4 linked regions of the Callithrix jacchus genome follow. The protein of the gene in region 3 purifies or fractionates together with the protein of the main gene of each other region. This does not show direct contact. Links are inferred from orthologs where the notes say so. Each region holds a gene or a part of one and is shown on either strand. Other genes may lie near its edges.

The links.
Region 1: the proteins of PTPN14 (region 3) and PDLIM7 purify together in Homo sapiens (affinity purification with mass spectrometry; 3 studies listed by BioGRID and IntAct, counting the BioPlex papers as one, with this or other methods). This does not show direct contact. The link is inferred for Callithrix jacchus from reciprocal best matches to the Homo sapiens genes PTPN14 and PDLIM7.
Region 2: the proteins of PTPN14 (region 3) and STXBP4 purify together in Homo sapiens (affinity purification with mass spectrometry; 3 studies listed by BioGRID and IntAct, counting the BioPlex papers as one, with this or other methods). This does not show direct contact. The link is inferred for Callithrix jacchus from reciprocal best matches to the Homo sapiens genes PTPN14 and STXBP4.
Region 4: the proteins of PTPN14 (region 3) and WWC1 purify together in Homo sapiens (affinity purification with mass spectrometry; 7 studies listed by BioGRID and IntAct, counting the BioPlex papers as one, with this or other methods). This does not show direct contact. The link is inferred for Callithrix jacchus from reciprocal best matches to the Homo sapiens genes PTPN14 and WWC1.

Annotation. Positions count from the first base shown.
Region 1 is NC_133503.1:68,644,111-68,647,610, forward strand, and holds part of PDLIM7 (PDZ and LIM domain protein 7), read left to right. Parts: intron 1-1,222; coding exon 1,223-1,374; intron 1,375-1,461; coding exon 1,462-1,492; intron 1,493-1,941; coding exon 1,942-2,060; intron 2,061-2,458; coding exon 2,459-2,479; intron 2,480-2,725; coding exon 2,726-2,862; intron 2,863-2,938; coding exon of another isoform or gene 2,939-2,964; coding exon 2,965-3,001; intron 3,002-3,268; coding exon of another isoform or gene 3,269-3,365; exon of another isoform or gene 3,366-3,500. UniProt on the Homo sapiens protein: May function as a scaffold on which the coordinated assembly of proteins can occur. May play a role as an adapter that, via its PDZ domain, localizes LIM-binding proteins to actin filaments of both skeletal muscle and nonmuscle tissues.
Region 2 is NC_133506.1:111,208,097-111,211,596, reverse strand, and holds part of STXBP4 (syntaxin-binding protein 4), read left to right. Parts: coding exon 1-140; intron 141-1,205; coding exon 1,206-1,284; intron 1,285-3,500. UniProt on the Homo sapiens protein: Plays a role in the translocation of transport vesicles from the cytoplasm to the plasma membrane. Inhibits the translocation of SLC2A4 from intracellular vesicles to the plasma membrane by STX4A binding and preventing the interaction between STX4A and VAMP2.
Region 3 is NC_133520.1:14,776,675-14,780,174, forward strand, and holds part of PTPN14 (tyrosine-protein phosphatase non-receptor type 14), read left to right. Parts: intron 1-1,307; coding exon 1,308-1,386; intron 1,387-3,344; coding exon 3,345-3,500. UniProt on the Homo sapiens protein: Protein tyrosine phosphatase which may play a role in the regulation of lymphangiogenesis, cell-cell adhesion, cell-matrix adhesion, cell migration, cell growth and also regulates TGF-beta gene expression, thereby modulating epithelial-mesenchymal transition.
Region 4 is NC_133503.1:31,339,770-31,343,132, forward strand, and holds part of WWC1 (protein KIBRA), read left to right. Parts: intron 1-924; coding exon 925-1,176; intron 1,177-3,363. UniProt on the Homo sapiens protein: Regulator of the Hippo signaling pathway, also known as the Salvador-Warts-Hippo (SWH) pathway.

The sequences.
Region 1 (3,500 bases), on a different chromosome or scaffold from region 3:
GCTCCTGTGCACCCCAAGACCCCCACCTCGGACTCAGCCCACACCTCCCAGGAGCCAGCCCTTGTGGGCAGGTAGTGGCTGGGCCAGGTTTCCCTTGTACTGACTCACCATGGCCTTGAGTAAGTCATTTCCCCTCTGGGGTGTCACTTCCCCACGCACAGTTTAAAGGGTTGATTTAGTTGGCTTGAATTAAATGTGAGGGGGAAGCTCAGGGCGTCTCGAGGTGGGCTGACCCCTCAGTTGGGCCCCCATGCTCAGCAAAGGTGGCCTGCAGTGGTGGAGTCTTAGGGTCAGGGTCACTTCCTGGCCCTGCCTCTTGCTGGGTGACTTGAGTCAAGTTGTTTAACCTCTCTGTGTACACTTTCAAGTGCAAAATGGGTAAAATCTCAGATTACTCCACAGGGTTGTTGGAAGATGCAGCAATGTGTAGCATACTTGGTGCTCAGTAAACTGAAGGAGGTGTTCTTATTTAGCGAGTGAGGAAGGGGCCACCGAGCTCTCTTAGCTTCCCTGAAGTCATTCCTGATGGTCTTAGTTCATGCTGGTGGCAGCCATTTCTCGCAGCCTATTGTCACCCCTTGTTGCCACTGGAACCAGGGACTCCCAGCTCAGAGCCTGAAGGATTGGAGTCAGGGGAGTTGGCAGTTGAAGGCTTGGGAGTGACACTCATGTATGGCCTATGAAGCCCCAGCTGTCACCTTAGGCCCCATTCAGGCAGTGTTCATGGGGAACCTGGAGATAACAGGGCCTGTTCCTGGCTCTCAAAGTGTCCCAGCGGACCCCTGCAGATGGCCCCCAGATAGGGTGCTGGAGGGTAAGAGATCCATAAGAGCCCCCAGCGGTAGCAGGGAAGAAGCTGCCCCTTGCATGGGCCAGAGGGCATATCTGGTAGTATAGCAGCCCTGGGCAGGCAGCCAGCAGGTGCTTCAAAAGGCAGGTGGTCCTCCTGAAACACATGGGCCTGAGCATGGCTGTTTGTGGGTATCATAGAATTTCTGGACTGTGGGGTAGGGTCGTGGTGCAGAGTAAATAAATCAGCAGTGTGATGGGAAATTGTGAAGCTCAGGTGAGCGCCACCACCTCCTGGTTGCTTTAGTGTCCAGCAGCTGCCTAGAACTATGTTGAATGAAGAGCTCTCTGGCCTCTAGAAGTGGGGCAGCATTACCACCTGGCTTGGGTCTGCAGAGTCTAAGGACCTCGGTCACTGTGCTTTTCTCTGTAGCTCACTCCTGGAGGCAAAGCAGCACAGGCTGGAGTGGCCGTTGGTGACTGGGTGCTGAGCATCGATGGCGAGAATGCAGGGAGCCTCACACACATCGAAGCTCAGAACAAGATCCGGGCCTGTGGGGAACGCCTCAGCCTGGGCCTCAGCAGGTATGCGCGTTGGTGTGGATGGGTGCACAGTCGCTAGCAATGGGGATTCTCATGGGCCCACGCTGTCACACTTTCCTTTTCCTTCAGGGCCCAACCGGTTCAGAGCAAACCCCAGAAGGTACGAGGCGGGCCGGGACATCTGGGCAGCGGGCGGGTTGGGCTTGGACAGCCAGACCTGCTCGCCCTCCTGGCACAGCCTCGGTACCCCAATCCCTGGTCAGAAGTAGAGGGCAGAAACTGGAGCTAGGGTGGGTCTAGGGCCCTGGAGTTGAGCCAGGGGCTGCCGCACGGTCTGGGCACCACGCATGTTTGCCTGTCTGTCCGCCTGCCTGCCTCCCGCCGCCGGTGCTGCGTGTTCGCCCGCACTTGGTCAGCCCTCGGTCCTGCGTGGACTGAAATCACCACTCCTGAATGGGCCCCTTGAAACCTGAGTTGTCGTCTCCCCCTAGTCTCCTGCAAGATGTGGGGGGTGTGGGGGGCTGGAGCTGCCACTGTCTTCTGGTGCGGGCGCCCCACTCCCACCCAAGTCCCTGCCCGCCTGCCCTGCCCGGCTCTGTCTCTGCTCAGGCCCCGGCCCCTGCCGCGGACCCCCCGCGGTACACCTTTGCACCCAGCGTCTCCCTCAACAAGACGGCCCGGCCCTTCGGGGCGCCCCCGCCCGCTGACAACGCCCCGCAGCAGAATGGGTATGTCAGCCCCGGCCCGCCCGTGCCCGTGCCCATGCCATCAGGCCCCTTGTGGCCCCACGCCCTTTGCCCGCTGCCCGCTGCTGCTCAGTCTGTGCTGTGCCCCAGCCCGGCGGAACCGTGCGGCAGCAACCCCTGGCGGCCGGGGTGGGACTGCAGGCACAGGGCCCCTCCCAAGGCTGTGGCACCCTGCAGGGCACTGCCCTGGGGAGGGGTCTCTGAATGAGGTCGCACCCCCTGCTGGCGGCTTGGGGTTGGGTCATGGTGTTGGGCCAGTTGAGCCCTAGACACTCAGTGCTGCCTGGTCCCCGGCTGCCCTGACCCCTCCCCATCTTTCTTCCTCTCCTGTGTCTGTCCCTTTGTCCCTTTATCTCTCTATCTGTCTATTTCCTTCACAGGTGCAGACCCCTGACAAGTCAGTGAGCCCCCTCTGCCTGTCCCTCTCTTCTTCCTTTTGGCACTCTGGGCGGTGGCCCCTCCCCACCCTGGCTGCCCTCCTCTCCACTTTGCCCTCCTGTCCTCTCATCCACCCGCCTAGCAGGGCTTCTGGCCTTGCCCTTACCCACTCCCTCCCATCACTGTAACCCACATGCACCAAATCCTGGGAGGGGCTGCCCCCACTGCCCACCCCCAGCATGGGGTTCTGAGCCGCACCCTCCCCACAGACAGCCGCTCCGACCGCTGGTCCCAGATGCCAGCAAGCAGCGGCTGATGGAGAACACCGAGGACTGGCGGCCACGGCCTGGGACAGGCCAGTCGCGTTCCTTCCGCATCCTTGCCCACCTCACAGGCACCGAGTTCAGTAAGTGCCAGCCTAGGCAGGGTGGACTCTCCTGGCCTCCAGCCCAGGCGTGAACCCTGACCTTCTGTCTCTCTTGGTCAATGCCTGTCTCTGCCCTCTCAGTGCAAGACCCGGATGAGGAGCACCTGAAGAAATCAAGGTACAAGAATGGGCACTAGCCCTTCTCCCACCTCCTGCCTCTTCCATTCCAGCTACTGCCCTATGTCTACTCCTGAGGCTCCCAGCTGGGGCTTTCCATTCTCCTTCCTTCCTTCGCTCCCTCCTCCTCCTCTTCCTTCTTTCCTTCCTTCTTTCCTCCCTTCCCTTGCTCCTTCCTTCCCTCATTCCTTCCTACCCTCCTCCCTCCCTATGTCCCTTCCATCTCTCCTTCCTTCCACTTCTTCCTCCTTCTCTCTCTGCCCCTCAGGGAAAAGTATGTCCTGGAGCTGCAGAGCCCACGCTACACCCGCCTCCGAGACTGGCACCACCAGCGCTCTGCCCACGCGCTCAACGTGCAGTCGTAGCCCGGCCCTCTCCAGCCGGCTGCCCTCTCTGCCTCCCTCTTTCTGTTCCTCCTGCCCAGGGCACCCCCTTAGTGTCTCCAGCTTCTGCCTACCTCACCCCCGCTTCCTGCCCCTGGCCTGAGTCTCCTGCTGGCC
Region 2 (3,500 bases), on a different chromosome or scaffold from region 3:
GTACATCACTTGTAGAAGCTTCAGGAGAATATATACCTCAAGCCTCAGCATTTAGTCTTTTTTCTTCTCCTCCTGAAACACTAATTCCAAAGACCTCATCCACTCCCAAAACTAACAATGCCATTTTACCTTCTTGTGAGGTAAGTCATGTAATCTTAAATTTCTCTGCATATATACTCCGTAAATCCCCCATATATTTTTACATTGGTTAAGTACATATAGAATTGTTATTTCAGTAAAATTGTTAACAAATTAATACTTCTTTGAAATATTTTTTCTTCTTTACTATTTAAGATGTTTATGCTGTATATTCAGCACACATATTTTAAGTCAGCATGTCCTGTGTCCAGAAGCATGATTTGTTAGACAATACTAGCATGACAAAATGGTTCCACAAAGATTTGCCTAGATATCACTCAAAACTATGTGAACAATATCATATTTAATTTCAGTTGGTTTAGTTATTTGCCATTTCTGTTCTCTGCTTGACTAAAGTCAGGCTATCTTATTTGTTCTTCCTTAGCTTCTTTCCCACATAGTGAGGCTAATCCCAGGCATCCACTCTAGAAGGATATTGCTCCTTCATGTGTGTAGGCTATAGTTCCCCCAAATAGAATCACACAAAATGGGGAATTTCTATATCAGAATTAATACACTCAATTACTAACAGCTATATTGTCCTAAAAAATTACAGTTATAAAGTGTATATTATTTATATCTGTGTTAGCTGTAAAATAGGAAATTCAGGCTTTTAGTCAGTAGAATAAAATGTGTCAATGGTAACTTCAGTTTCAGGTACATGCTGAACAGAGACAGAGTGTAAGATTTTCAGTCAGCCCCTTATACTTTGTCATGTGGAGCTATAATACTTTGAAAAGACAAGATGTGTGGCCTTATATTTTGTTATCCTTGGATATGGAAGAGCTGCAAGCAATTGTTACCTTTAATTCTGAATGGCTTTGTTCAAAGATGCATATACCAAATTTTATAGTTTCATAAAGTTTGATGCATATACCAAAATTTTATAGTTTCATAAAGTTGTTCGAAGATGCATATACCAAAATTTTATAGTTTCATAAAGTATAAATTTTATAGTTTGAGGGACTATTACCTTAATCTCTTTAACCATTCTTTTTATGTTAACACGGGCTTCAGGTGACCTACTTTAGTAAATGACATTGTGTGTTTCTCATTTTCTTTCACAGATAGAAACTGGATACAACAAAACAGAACAGATTCCAATTACTTCTTCAGAAAACAGTACTGTGGGTTTGTCTAATACAGGTAAATACACATTTAATTTCTCTTTCCTGTTATTTTTTTCAATTCTCTCTCAATGAGGAATATGTAATGTGACTTAATAAGACTTTGAAGAAGGTTGCATTATGTCTTTGTTCCTTCAATGAATGAAAAAGCAAAAATAATATATTTTTCATTGGTCCCTGTGAAAGTATGACTTTTACTGGAAATTTCCCTGAACATAGAGTTGAAATTTCAAAAGATGCATTGTCATAATAGCGTTTATGAAACTATAATAATTAATGAATTGTTTAAGTGAAATAATGAGAAGTCTTCTCTAAGATCAAGATTAGGTTGCCTTTGAGTGCAGTACTGATGAGGCATATTAAATACACCTTTCAGAAAACACATTAAAGAAGGGAGCATACCTTAAGAAATGTATCGTTTTTTTTGGAAGAAATCATATGGACGTAAATTAGAAAGAATGTCAGTATTGTGAATTCATTATTATGGATTCTTATTTACCATAAAACGATGTACTGACTTTTTAAAACAATAAAGCATTGATTATCTAAGCCAAACGTAAAATAAGGATTTTTATTAGGCTTGCAGGTTCAATATCAGGAAAAAGTCTCCCGAAATTATCTCTGAACGTGGAACACAACAATGAAAAAAAGATTAAAGATAACCGAAAAACTAATTACATATGCCTAATTATAATGCAAATTTTTACCTGTATATTTTAATTTTGTTTTAATAGCAGTATTGATATAAGAACTCAAAAATAAGGAAGCATTAATTTAAATTAAATAGCTAACAATCTTTACAGGAGTTTATACTATATTCCATAGTAGTTTACTCCAATTTGGGGTGGTATTTATCACTAGGTTAATATTCTTCAGCCATGAGTTATATTCCCTTTTACTTAGTGAAATTTATTGACCCTTGGAAACTTTATTAGCATTATTCCTCTTACATAATTAATTTCCAGTCTCTTGATATACTGTTTTTATTTTAAACTGGGAACCCATATGGGAAGAAAAAGATAGACAAATGAAACCAACAGTCATTAGATGAAGATCGAAGTTGCTAGATGATAGAAGTCAGAATCCTTTATTCCTTGATTATATTATAAAATATTAATACTTTATAACTTTTTTAATTTTTAAAGTAATTGAACTACTCAATGCCTCTTTTAACCATTTATTCAGTAAGGATTTACTATGTTATATGTGAAGAATACAGTACAACGGGAATTATGAGGGAATTAGGATTTTTCTGTGAGACACTTAAATAGTATATTGTGAAATAAAACATGGGGTTAAAAATTCCAGTTATTCAAATTAGAAAGCATCCAAATATATATGCATGTATTTGTTTATAGCTGTGTATGTGTGTTTATTTTATCAAGTAGCTACTATTTGTAGTTTTCTGTGTTAATTGGAGCAGGATCTGGGTGGTTTTGTTACTCTAAAAAGCATTCTTTCTTGTGAATGAATAACACATTTACACAAATTATGTAAAGACAGGAACAAATAGACCTAAGGAAAGAAGTAGTGAGTGATATGAATGAGTATGGTATAAGGAAGACACAGTGGTCGTTACCACCAGGCTCTGAAGTTCAAGTTCTTGCTTTTATCTTATTAGCTCTGTTACCTTGAATTAGTTACAAGTTACATGGAGTCGTTATGAGGATTAAACAAGATCATGCATGTCAAGCACTTACTTTGTAATTAGTGCATATATATGCTTACTAAATTTTTCTGTTACTAATAATATAGAACCTATAGCCTAGAGTATAGCTCAGATAATATTCTAGGTCATGTTTATAGAGCAAAAGGAAAAGCTTGAATTCATGATTCAGTTTTATGTCCTCCCCTTGATCCCAAAAACTAGTATATAATAAGGAATCTGTCAAAATATGTAAAAATTAATTAAGAAAAATTTCTTGGCAAAAGTCAGGCATTATCCAAATCTTGAAAGAAGTGGAAGGGGGAGGAGGGGGATGGGGAGGGCAAGGAGGAGGAGGCAAGAAGGAGGGAGAGCCACGAGAATAATAGGCCATACTTGGAAAAACTAACTTTCCCAGAGAGAAACAAAGATCTTAGGGCTGGGATAGAGAGATATCATTTGCAGATGAGGAAAACTGTCTATGAAGGGGCTTTCAGGTAAAGCTACTCTGAATTGACTAAGTGTGCTGGAGTTATACACAGACCCTCTTAAGATTTTAACTCAAAAGTAAAGGTGTAAGTTGTCTGGAA
Region 3 (3,500 bases):
AAGAAATGAAAAGGAAAAAGAAATATAAGAGATTATCGTTTTTTGTGGCTTATAAACTTAAGTGTTTTGAGGGTTATTTTTTCCCGCAGATCAAAATTCTTATTTTAAACAAATTCTTATCCGGAACCTTGATATGTAAATAAAATGGATAATGCTTGAGGTAGGGGGAGAGAGGAGCTTGATTTGACTGATAGGAAACTGAGATGGGCTGAGGTTAAATGACTTGCTCTATATTATATTAGTGCATAACTGCCTCTCTTTTGTTGGCTCACCAAATATTTAATCCACTGAAGTATTTTTTATTCCTCTAAAAGCTTGTTCCTCTTCCACAGCATGAAGTTATTCAGGTTCAGTCTAAATAGCCATTTTTAAGAGACTGCAGAAAAGATTCTGCACTGCGGTAGGGGGAAGACAGGGCCCTTTCCATACTTGGTTCTGCAGTGGGGGAGGTCAGCAAGTGGTCTTGAGAGCTACACACTCACTGTTGTGGGCCACATTTTAGATATTTAAGTAGATTCATTTTAGATATTTAAGTAGATTCATCCCGGGCTCGGCTTAACACTAACCCTGTTCCTATTTAAGGTTGATGTGGTCTCAGGCATAGCTATGCTGATGTGTAGGAGCTTATGAATGGAATTTTGAAAAGAATGAAACAGGTGTTCCCTTATTGTCATCTCTGAGATGGATTATAATAATTCACTCTTTTTTTTGGAGACAGTTTCTCTCTGTCTCCCAGGCTGGAGTGCAGTGGCGTGATCTTGGCTCACTGCAACCTCTGCCTCCCGGGCTCAGTGACTCTCACACCTCAGCCTCCCAAGTAGCTGGGACAACAGGTGCATGCTAGTACACCTGGCTAATTTTTTTTGTATTTTAGTAGAGATGGGGTTTCACCATATTGCCCCATATTGCCCAGGTTGTTCTTGAACTCCCAAGCTCAGTCAATCCTCCCACCTTGAATAATTTACCTTTTCTAAGTTATTCTTGTGAGAGAAGGCACAGAGAACTTTGCAAGTGTATTAGAACATAGATAATAAATTGTTACATTCAATCTTTGATGGTAACTTCTTTCTCTCTCTGATCTTGAACCAACTTCATTTCTCCCTTACCGTTTCTCCAGTCCCAGTCTTAGTGATAAGATGAGAGCGCAGACGGGTAGAAGAAGGTTGGGTCAAAGGGGTGACAGGGACAGCGGCTGCCACGAGCCTCCCTGACGACATGGTGGGACTGCTGTGTGCCCGGGCCGGGTGTGTGAGTCATTGGCCGGGTCTGGCCAGGCCTCCCCACCTCCTCTGTGTTCTCTGTTTCAGCCCAGGCAGCAGCCGTACATCCTGCCTCCCGTTCACGTGCAGTGTGGTGAGCACTACTCGGAAACACACACCTCACAAGGTAACGCTGGCTTGCCATTCTCCATTCTTAAGACAAAAAATTGAATACCAATAAGTGGTAAAGAAGACTTTTAAAAAAAAAGAAGACAGGGATGCTTTCTTTTTAACTTCGTCATTGTCTGAATGATAGTATCTGACAGCTTCAATTTGCAGAAGGCTTAAACTATCAGTTACCTCTGATCAAAAAATTTCCCCGGTATTGGCTGCTCTGGGGGTCGGGGTCAAGGCAGCGAGCAAGTTCTTTCTTCTCCCTTTCCTAAGTGAGCTTAGAGAAGAGACCGTGATAGCTCAGCCCAAGTGAATGCACTTCACCTTCATTGCCAGTATCAGAAAGCTCCTGGCAGTCACTCTGCTTTTCATGGTGACATAGAACACGGACGTGCAGAATAATTGGAAGAAATACACTAAGTCAGCCTTTTCTCTTAGCTGTTTTTCTCATCTCTTTCCCCAGCCCCTTTCTTGGTACACTTGCTTTTTTCTTTTCAGAGTAAAGTAAAGCTGTTCTATTCCTCTCTTTCTCACAAAATTTCTCCCATGCAAAATGTGTGAAAAAGCTTCTTCTACTAGTAATGATTTCATGGTAACAACTAACATTCATAGAGCAATTATGGTATTGCTCTAAGTACTTGGTATATATCTTTTCACGTGATCCTTAAAACAAACCTATAGGTACTATTATTATTTCTATTTTCCAGATATACAAATTGGGGTACAGACAGATTAATGATGGAACTTAGATATGAAAACTGGTACTTGTAATCATTATGCGAACTGCATTTGAAAAAAAGGAGATGGTAGAAAATCTTGGATGTTGGAAATACAGTAAATGGTTAATTCATTCTCTGTTATCAACTCCTGGCCATTTTGAATCCTCTGCTGTATAAAAGTGTGAGCATGAAAACCAAGGCAATCAAGACTATTTAATTTAATAAAATAGTACTTTTTACAAGGAGACTAGCAAAGTTACCACATTTCTCTGGGAAGGCCCCAAACCCCATGGGAGGTGGCTAACTTGCCCCCACATTTGTCTCTGCGTTCCCCTTGTCTGTCCTGCCTGTCTCATCTGATCAGATCTCTGTCCATGCTCCCTCTCTTCAGTTGACTATTTTCAGTCACCGTTTCTGTTTTTCACCTTCTCTGAGTTTGCCTTTCTCTGTTTTGCTCATGCTTAAATCTGTAGTGTGAAAATGAATATATCTTGGCTATAGAAAGGCAAGAGATTGCCTTCCTCGGGGCGTGTGTGTGTAAGAGAACACCGGACACCTAGAATGGGCCTGATTTTAGGAATCTGCTTTTTATTGCCTTAGGTATCTCTTTAAACTATAATTTTTACTTGAATTGACCTAAGTGATGAAATAGTTCTAGAGGGGATATTAGGAGTTGCTGAAAAGAACTCGTGATTCTAATTTTGCCCTCTGTTGCTGCTCAGGACCAGCTAGCTGTGCTGACACCCTGGCTACATCATTTGTTTTGTGTCTTTAGAATGCCCAGCAGTCACCTGGGTAAAGGCGCCTTTTCCATTGCCATCAGGAAGAGCAGCTCTAAGTCCTTAGTAACTGAAATTTATTAAAGTTCTTGAATTCCTTGTCTAAATATTCAGTCCTGTTGCTGAGTCCTGAGCAAGAGGACAGGTCTCCCCAATTGGAGGGCCATTGTTGGTGCCTGATTTCAAAGCTCACGGCAGAACTGAGAACTTTCCCAAGCAACACTTACTTCAAATGTGTGCACGCCTTTGATTAGGTTTGCTTTTTCCTTTCAGTATGCTTTAAGGTGTTCTTTCTGTATGTTGGCATTTCATCCAAGATAGTATTTGTTATTCTGTAGAATATGTTGGTGGAGACCATGGGATTTCATTTTTTATGACTTATTTAAATGAAAAGTCACCTCATAAGTGTAGGATGTGCATTGCTGTGGCAGAATGGCGTGGAGGTTCACGTGCCTTTGCTTGACTTCTTGTAGACAGCATTTTTCATGGGAATGAAGAAGCCCTGTATTGCAACTCTCACAACAGCCTGGACTTAAATTATTTAAATGGCACCGTCACCAATGGCAGCGTGTGTAGTGTTCACAGTGTCAACTCCCTCAACTGCTCGCAAAGTTTCATCCAGGCCTCCC
Region 4 (3,363 bases), on a different chromosome or scaffold from region 3:
GTGGGTGCCTGTAGTCCCAGCTACTCGGGAGGCTGAGGCAGGAAAATCGCTTGACCCCAAGAGGCAGAGGTTGCAGTGAGCTGAGATCATGCCACTACACTGCAGCCCTGGTGATGGTGAAACCACTTCATCAAAAAAAAAAAAAAAAAAAAAGTCATTGCCTCTTTTCCGAGTAGTTCAGCAAAGTGCCAGAATTGAGTATTAATGGGTGGGCTTTGATAACATACTCACCTCTGAACCCATCACTGAGATTCTGATTGGCCAGGCTCAGGTCACATTCCTATCCCTGATGCCCCACACAAACCAGGTGGACTGAGTGTGGAGGAAGAGAATTCCAAGGGAAGGTGAGGGCATTGTTACTGTAAGGCTGGGGAAACAGATGCTGGGCAAGCAGAAACAATAGGCGCGCATTACAGGAACATGAAGTCAAGACTTGACTTCTGCCCTCAAGCAGGAACAGACCTGTACTGGGGAAACAACTTCAGAAAAGTACAGTGACAGGAATCAATACCTGAAAACGTCCATGTGAAGGGCGCTGACAGTACTCAAGCTGGCACAGTGTAGAGAGAGGGCGGGTGGGGATTGCAGCCAGCTCCCTGGAGTGAAATCTCAGCCTTACCACACATACCCTGTGGGACTTAACCTCTGCAAGCCTCATCTGTGCAGATGATAAGCCTTGGAACCTCCTAGGTTTATGAAAATGAAACAAGGCAATAAAAATTAAGCACTTAGCACCATTCCTGGGACATAATAAATGCTCAGTAAACATGAGCTGAGTGGGAGAATTCCAAACAGGCTTCCCAGGGAAGGGCAAGCCCCATTCAGAAGGAGTGAAAGCCTACAGGTAAACAAAGGGAGGATATTTGAGGGTCAGAGGAAGGGGCTGGGTGGGCTCACAGGGCAGAGTTCTAATAACAAGAGAAGCCGTCCCCACCTCCGCAGCCTTCCTCCGTCAAGTCCCTGCGCTCCGAGCGTCTGATCCGCACCTCGCTGGACCTGGAGTTAGACCTGCAGGCAACGAGAACCTGGCACAGCCAACTGACCCAGGAGATCTCGGTGCTGAAGGAGCTTAAGGAGCAGCTGGAACAAGCCAAGAGCCATGGGGAGAAGGAGCTGCCGCAGTGGGTGCGCGAGGACGAGCGTTTCCGCCTGCTGCTGAGGATGCTGGAGAAGCGGGTGAGTGCAGCTCGAAGGCAGGGGAGCCCTGTGCTCTGTCCCAGGGAGTGGGGGGTACTATCCCAGGGAAGAGAGGCCAGAGCTCATGATGCATCCTACCATTCCCACCACAGGTTCCACTGAGGTTGTTCCACCCCTCCCTCATTCCCATCAGCAGAGGAATCCAGGAATCTCTTTGCCCGCTCAGCCTTATTAACCCTTCACCTGGCTGCAAGGCTCATTTACTGCATTTGTTGATGTGTTTTTGTGTGCTGGCCCATATTCACACATGTGCTCATCATGCAGTTCTTCATTGAAACACATGGGGCACCTAATCTGCCAAGGCACACACTTTAACAGAGTAACAATAGGACACGGACCTGCCTCAGTGCCTGCCCAGGCAGTCCCACAGGGCAGCCCTTGCCAAAGCAGGAGAGGGGCTGGTCACACCGGGCTTTCTGTTAACAAGGATGCCCTGGAGTACAAGCCTGCTGGCATCTCTGCCCTGCTATAGTGAGTTTAAGGGTTGATCAAGGAGAAAGATATAACCACAAAATGGTGTTAGCACACACACAAGTTTTATATTAGTTGTGTTTTTTGTTTTGTTTTGTTTTGTTTTGGAGACAGGTTCTTACTCTGTTGCCCAGGCTGGAATGTGGTGGCACAACAGCTCACTGCAACCTCCACCTGCCAGGCTCTATCGATCCTCCCACCTGAGCCTCCTGAGTAGCTGAGATGACAGGGGCATACCAATATACCTGGCTAATTTTTGTATTTTCTGTAGAGATGGGGTTTCACCTTGTTGCTCGGGCTGGTCTCGAACTCCTGGGCTCAAACAATCTACCCATCTTGGACTCCCAAAGTGCTGGGATTACAGGCTTGAGCCAGTGTGCCTGGCTTGCACTGCGCTTTGACAGGTTTGCATGCAGGAGAAGTCCCTCCCAGCATGAGACCTTCCAAAGGTGCTGGGGGCTACTACCCAGTGTGGAGGAAGGCAAGGGAACTCCCAGGGGAGAGCTGGGGGAGAGGGCCATCTAGGTGAGGTAGCTCTGCAGCACGATGGGGAGTCTCTGGGTCAGAGAACTCCAAAGCAATAGCAGCAGATTGGAGTCTCTTATAGGCCCAGGGCATATCTTATCTATGGCTAGCAAATGTTAGATACAGTTTCACAGGGTATGTAAAACACAAAGATTGTATATTTCTTTAAAAGCTGCTTATTTGAGCTAAAACAACTGGAAGGGTAAAAATTTGAGTTTGGCACCAGCAGGCTTTTGAGCCAACAGGTCCCAGACGACCATGAAGAAATAAACAATGCAGGGCCAATATACAATGGCCATTCTCTTTTTTTCTTTTCTTTTTTTTTTAAGACAGGGTTTCACCATGTTGGCCAGGCTGGTCTTGAACTCCTGACCTCAGGTGATCCGCCTGCCTCAGCCTCCCAAAGTGCTGAGATTACAGGCATGAGCCACCATGCCTGGCCAATTCTCTACTCTTTTATAAAAAATAATACCTGCCACTCTGTGATCACCACCCATGGCAAGAAAGACCTTTGATAGTTCTCTCTACAAACAGCCAGACTTGCTGAGAGCACCTTACACAGGGTGCCTTCCTGAACTGTCAGGAGGGCCATCAGCTGAAATCTCAGCACTCCGTACAGGTGGTGATGCCTTAGGGCAGGAAGATGCTGCTGGACTTCTTAGGCCTGGACTGATATGGCAGCTTCAAACTGACTCTGGCAGTTCTGAAGTTCCAGAAAAGTTTACTTCTTTCTTATGTATACCCTGTTTACTTACAAACAGCATTATAACAAGAGTATTGAGGGAAAATAGAAAATTGGAAGGCTTAAAGGAGGAGAAGGAAATAAATATATCCCAAACCTAAAGTAACCTGGTTAGAGTTAGGTATTATATTTATCTTTGAGCTTCCTGGTAGCCAAGGCAAAAAGAGATCAGAAAACAAGTGCCTATGTGCCCTACCTTAACACTTGATCTTAGTCAAAAGACTAAGAAGTAATACATGCCCTGACTTAAGAAAAACAAAGAAAACTTGACCTTCCAAATGGTTAAAAAAAAAAAAAATTAAAAAGTAACATCTATGCCTTCTAACAAAACACCATTGAAATGATGGCTCTATTTACAAAAGTTCTGTCTTTGTGCAATGTTTTCAAGTATATGGTGCATGGATATTTTAGAGTTTTCTGTGGTTTGT